Linked DNA regions of Kluyveromyces lactis. The protein of the gene in region 1 purifies or fractionates together with the protein of each later gene. This does not show direct contact. Links are inferred from orthologs where the notes say so. Each region holds a gene or a part of one and is shown on either strand. Other genes may lie near its edges.

The links.
Region 2: the proteins of IMG1 (region 1) and ATP25 purify together in Saccharomyces cerevisiae (affinity purification with mass spectrometry, with the first as the bait; 3 studies listed by BioGRID). This does not show direct contact. The link is inferred for Kluyveromyces lactis from reciprocal best matches to the Saccharomyces cerevisiae genes IMG1 and ATP25.

Annotation. Positions count from the first base shown.
Region 1 is NC_006042.1:571,371-574,027, forward strand, and holds IMG1 (mitochondrial 54S ribosomal protein bL19m), read left to right. Parts: upstream 1-1,638; coding exon 1,639-2,154; downstream 2,155-2,657. Other genes in the region: BUD23 (18S rRNA (guanine1575-N7)-methyltransferase), read left to right, coding at 526-1,329. UniProt on the Saccharomyces cerevisiae protein: Component of the mitochondrial ribosome (mitoribosome), a dedicated translation machinery responsible for the synthesis of mitochondrial genome-encoded proteins, including at least some of the essential transmembrane subunits of the mitochondrial respiratory chain.
Region 2 is NC_006042.1:273,798-277,777, reverse strand, and holds ATP25 (Atp25p), read left to right. Parts: upstream 1-1,748; coding exon 1,749-3,437; downstream 3,438-3,980. Other genes in the region: DNA-binding protein ABF1, read left to right, coding at 6-1,490; KTI12 (Kti12p), read right to left, coding at 3,566-3,980. UniProt on the Saccharomyces cerevisiae protein: mRNA stabilization factor specific for the 0.95 kb OLI1 mRNA. Also involved in OLI1 ring formation.

The DNA.
Region 1 (2,657 bases):
AAAAAAAAGCAGAACTCGCTCGTTATTCTAATAGTTCGTACACTTGCAAAACTACAGCTTCCAATGCGCTTCTGATGTTGTTATTTAACATTCTCAGTTTACCATAACTTCACTTTATCTTAACATTCAAATTATCGATCATCCCTTATGTATATTTACGCAAACAACGGTAATTTAACAAATATGCCACATAATGCGAAATATTCCAAAACTTAGCCGATTATACTGATCAATACAACAGTAAAAGAGCATTAGGCGCTATACTGAATGTGATAGTAAGGACTTGTAATCTTATATCTACTAGCTTGATACGTTCCCTATTGCACGTGACCACATTCTTTACTACAACCAAGTTTCTTTTCCGAACGTTTGATTCAAAATTTTAAAGCTCATCTCGGTCATCGCCAAACATTTACGAACTAACAATGGCTACTTGAGCAAGCTGTTTGCATTGATATGCTCTGTTAATCAACTGACGGGAATAAAGTATAATAGGATAACAATTACAAGAAGTTTGAGATCGAAATGTCACGTCCAGAAGATTTGGCACCACCAGAAGTGTTTTACAATGACAGTGAATCTAAGAAGTATAGTGGCTCCACAAGAGTGCAACATATTCAAGCTAAAATGACACTTCGGGCCTTAGAACTTCTCAACCTGCCACATACATCATATATCTTGGATATTGGGTGTGGGTCTGGTTTAAGTGGTGAAATCATCACTGAAGAAGGACATATATGGTGTGGATTAGACATTTCTCCTAGTATGTTAGCTGAAGCGCTAGAAAGAGAAGTTGAAGGTGATCTTATGTTACACGATATAGGTCAAGGTATTCCATTTAGAGCAGGTGTATTTGATGCGGCAATTAGTATATCTGTGATTCAATGGTTATGTAATGCGGACACATCGTACAACGATCCAAAGAGAAGGCTCATGAGGTTCTTCAATACACTATTTGCTAGTTTGAAGAAAGGAGGAAAATTTGTAGCACAATTCTATCCAAAGAATGATGATCAAATAGACCAAATCTTGGGAGCAGCAAAAGTAGCTGGATTCTCTGGTGGCCTTGTCATTGATGATCCCGAGTCCAAAAAGAACAAGAAGTACTACTTGGTATTAAGCTCCGGATCTACAGAACAGAATGAACAAGTCAACTTGGATGGTGTTAAGATGGATGCAGATCTAATGGTAAAGAGAGAGCGTAAAAAGAAACTAGTTGAATCAAGTAAGGATTACATCAACAGAAAGAAGGAGGTGATGAAAAAAAGAGGTAGAAAGGTAGCTCTCGACTCGAAGTTTACGGGTAGAAAGAGAAGACCTAGGTTTTAGTATGGTCTTGCATATATAGAATTAGTAGATACGCACTTAATACAATCAGCAAACATGGACTGAAACGTTATCATTCATTCACCATTTTCCGTGTCTATTGCATCTGCCATGATCAAAACGTTTAAAATGATCATCAAACCTATGTTGTAGTTTTCCATAGAAAGAACATTCGAAAATTTTGGTTAAAAAAGATGGAAACATAAGTACCTAAGAGTTAAGAAAGCACTGAAGCGCAGTTTATATTTGAGTTTAAGCCTTTACTACCCGTCAGATCAAGTTCCCATTCCAAAACTATATTAGTCCCATACAATGTTAAAGAGACTACTACCTACCGTTATCAGACAATCTGTTAGAAGTTATCAACTTCCAGCTAAGAGTGGAAGAAAGATTATTCCAGTTTACCCACCAGTTGAAAGAATATCCTCCCCATTAGTAGTGAAGACTCTAGCTGATCATGATCTAAAACAACTTGACCCAACTGGTGTAAAAACAGAGATGGTTTCAAAGAAAAACCCAAATCGTCTACGTGCAGGTGATGTTCTTCGTGTAGTTTACGATTCCAAGAAATGCAACTACGATAGTTTTACTGGATATGTGCTATCGGTAGACCGTAAGCCAATAGTACAAGACACATCCATTCTATTAAGAGATTATATTTATAAAACCTGTGTGGAAATGAGAGTGCCAATCTTCTCACCATTGGTAGAGAGAATTGATTTGATTAGAAGAGCGGATGGTAAGAGACGCAGAAGTAAACATTATTACATCAGAAACACCAGATTGGATGTCGGAGATTTGGAAGCAAGTATGAGAAAGAAGAAATGAGCACATTCACACTATCAAACACTTGCTGAATTTTCATAAAATGAAACATGTACATAGAAGCAATTCAAACATATAGTAAGTAATGCTCGATATCAATGCAAACCCAAAGACAAGGAAGATTCAAAGTTGAAAGAGCTCCAGAGTTGAACCATAATGCAAGGTACTCTATGCAGGTCCAGCTTCTCTAGGTAAAGTTATTTGTATCATTAGCATGTCGGGTGGATATATAATTGTATAATCTGTAAAATAAAAAGGCGGATTATGCTAGTCCTTATACCTCATCAAGTGCATCCAATAAGAAAGGAAAATCATGAGAAAGGATAAGCATAAGAAAGGATTTGTACGCTCTATCTAAAACAAAGCTGCATTGAGTGAGCAAGTTGCTCTATTAGAAATGAAAAGATTACAAGCAATTTTGGTCCGCATTTTTGATAATTTATGAAGGTTCTTGATTGGTTCAAAAAAGTAGTGGTATAATGTTATGAAAGCCGTACCAGCCGTCT
Region 2 (3,980 bases), about 300 kb from region 1:
CAGCGATGTCGTTATATGAATACAAGCACCCGATCATCAATAAGGATCTGGCTGCGCCAGATCCTGTGAGTGCGCAGAAACGGTCTTTCCCCACGTTAGAGGCGTGGTACGATGTAATTAACGATTATGAGTTTCAATCGAGATGTCCTATTATTTTGAAGAATTCACATAAGAATAAACATTTCACTTTCGCGTGCCATTTGAAAAGTTGTCCGTTCAAGATTTTGTTGTCGTATCAGGGCGCCAACAATTCTGGTTCGTCTGAGGATGGTTCTCCGCATGGTTTAAGTGGCGATGGTGGTTCTTCGTCGTCTGGTTCGAATCACCATAATGGTCATACGAATTTGGCCGAAGATGGTAGAGCGGAGGATGAGGACGATGATGAGGATGATGATGCGGCTGTGACTGCTGCTATCGCAGCGGCAGTTGCAGCAGTTGCAGACTCTCAGGAGACTATCAAGGGTCCCTTCGTGGTAACCAAGATTGAACCTTATCATAACCATCCGTTGGAATCAAACCTTTCTTTGCAACGGTTTGTCTTGAGTAAAATTCCAAAGATTTTACAAGTTGATCTCAAATTCGACGCTATTCTAGAGTCGTTGTGTAACGATGACGATAATACAGTGGCAAAGTTTAGAGTGGCACAGTACGTGGAAGAATCCGGGATTCTCGATATCATCAAGCAACGGTACGGGTTGACCGAAGCTGAAATGGATAAGAAAATGTTAAGTAACATCGCTAGACGTGTTACCACGTATAAGGCCAGATTCGTCTTGAAAAGAAAGAAGGATGGCGTATACGCAATGCCCACCGCTCATCAATTGACTGGCGGTGACCACCATCAAGTACAACACCATCATCATCCATCGATACCAGCTCACCACCAACACCAACTACCCGAAGGTCAACAACGCGACGTTCAGCATCATCACCAACAGCAACAGCAACAACTACAACACCAGGAACAACACCAATCACATGTTGATAGTGGACATAATGTATATCAGAACAGAATTGGTTCGATCAGTGATAATGATGATTCCGCTATACATAATCTGGATGACACTAACGTACGTGTCGCAGCTGCTGCAGCTGCCGCTGCAGCGGCTCTGCAGTCTAGAGAAAACCACGATACCGAGGATCTGAAACGTACGCTAGAACAAGTGCAAGACGATGAAAGTTTAGACGTCGGTGTACCCGATTCCAAGAGACAGCTCCACAGAAGAGAAAGAGACAGAGTCGCGGAAGCTCTTAAAATGGCTACCAGAGATATCCTGTCAAATCAAAGTGTTGATTCTGACGTGAACGTCGATGTCGATTTAGTCACTGGCCATAAACAATTATCACCTCATGACGACATGGCGGAGCAGCTAAGGTTGTTGTCATCTCATTTGAAGGAAGTTGAAGCCGAGGAAAATGTCTCCGATAATAATCTCAAGAAAGACGATATTCCTGATGAAAATATTCAGCCGGAACTAAGAGGACAATAACCAACAAATTTAATACACCCTCATGACACATTCCTCTCTTTTCATATTTACTGAAAAATTGTAAAATTGTAACTATATATAATATTATCTTATGTGTAACTTTTATGATGGAAAAAAAAAATATATGAACATTAACTGGTTCCTATTCAACGATCTGCAGAAGCTCCACAATTATAATAAAAATTCAGGAACATACATTTAACCAGTTACCTGGATTCATACGGTTTCGAGAAGTTGAGCTTGTCTATTAGTTTAACCATGCATAGATCCTACGCAGTACTTCTTCGCAACAATGTGGCTCGTCTTTGTTATAGACCGGGTTCTACCTTATTCATTCGAAATTTTACCACCAGACACTCCTTAAGACAGAGCAAGCCGTGGTATTTGGACATATCAGAGAATAAGGAGGAAGATTCAAATTCTCCTTTCATTAAACCCATACGGTTTCCTCCTACAGAAATTCCTGCTTCACTAGAAACCATTTCAAAATATCTAAATGATAAGTTGGCAGTAACGGACATTGTGGTTTTCGACACTGCCCACTCCAGTTCTGCCACTTCAATTCAAAGCATGGCTAGCTATGTTTTAATTGGTACTGTGAAATCATTTAGACACCTTCAAAACTGTAATGATGAGCTAATAAAGTTTATTAAAGAAACGTTTGATGAAGTACCCAAATCGGAAGGTTTGGTCACCAGTGGTATACTAAGAAAGAGACAAAGGCGTCTAGGCAGGAAAACTAATTTGGGCAAAATAGCCAAGATAGAGAATGATGAAAGTGGCTGGTGTTTGATAGATTCTAACGTTGATGGGCTGTTTATCAATATAATGACTGAGGAAAGAAGAGATGATTTGAATTTGGAGGAGTTGTATTGTCGTGTTGAGGAGCTTGACCAGTACAAGAAGCAAATCAATTTAAACCCACCAGCGGAAGAAGAGGATGATGTTTTACTTGGATTAAGAAAGTTGATGATGAAAAATACGAAAAGATACTATTCTACCGTGGGAGAATCTCCGAAACCAACGTTCTTGGAAGCTCTTACAATCCAGGACCTAGATTCCGCTTCAAAACTGATAAAAGAAGAAAAAAAGCCTTACCATGTTATAGCATCTGCTCTCGGACGTTTACCAAACCATATAGAACTTGATGCCGAAAATTGGATAAAGCTATTTAATGAAGCCACACCAACCGAAGGTCCGTTAGACTATGAGTACTGGGGTGCAAGGTTCAAGTTTTTCCAGTTACTTTACATTTCCAAAAGAAATAACATAGAAGAAAATACTCAGTTAGATGCCAGTACAATCAAAGAGTTTAACAGAGAACTAAACTATTTCATCAATGATTTTTTTAGGTTTAAGCAATTGGCATTATGTCAGCCGACAAGAGAGGAGTTAATTGGCTTTCTTGAAATTTGCATTCAACATCTCAAACTTTCGAAAAGCTATAACCAGCTGATAAGTGTGAATATGTGGATTCTCAAGGCCTTACAGTCATATCAATATAGTGATCCTAAGGTTGTCCATGATCCCAGGGTCATCAAACTTTTAGTTAAGTCAATGCATACCGAAAACACTAACCTTAACTCACTTTACGAGTATGTCAATCTCATCACAAATGAATTTGAGGTAAGATCATTAACAAATGACGTGATAAAAGAAATAATAACGACTTTGGTAGAAAGTGAAAACTGGCCGACTTTGTTTAAATTTTGGAAACAATGCTTGTGTGAGAGTGCTGTCGATAGTAACGTATGGGATTTCTTCATAAAATCATTATTAAACAAGAATGACAAAGTCATTTTATCAGATATAGTGGATAATGGTCATTTGTTATGGATTCATAGAAGTAAATTGGTGATAAGTGATGACTTAAAAGCGTCACTATCGAAGTTACTTGACCGGGTGGATGGTAGTCATACCAATATTAAGAAGCTACTAAAGCTGTAAATAGTTTATAGACAGATATGATATTATTCTGGAAGGAAATTTCCTTCATTATTTTAATGTGAGATAAGTGTTCATGTGAAAGATTATGTCGATCAAAGCGCTTTAAGTGTTGCCATGAGTTGAAGAATTCAGACATTCAAATGTTTGTTCAAATATTCAACGAATAACGGTTTTACTCTATCTTGCTCTAAGTTTCTTAATCTATTCATTGCAACAAATTGACGTTTTATTCTTTGTAATTGAGGCATGGAGCAATTTTGTAGTGAGAGATCGACATAAAGACAGTTTGGATCGTTTAAATCAGTATTCTCAGGAGTAAGAATTATTCTTGAAGTGCCACCACTGACCACATTTTGCTGCATATATTTCATTATAATCTTTATGACACTACTGGCCTCGGAGTCAAGTATTTGCAAAGAGTTAGTGTGAGAGGCAGCCTTCAATATCGTGGCATTGTTTGGCTTTAATTGTTGCAGGATCTTCTCAGTATCTCTATCATTCGTTGCCGGTTTGAACACGGTTGGGAATATTGCCTTACTAATA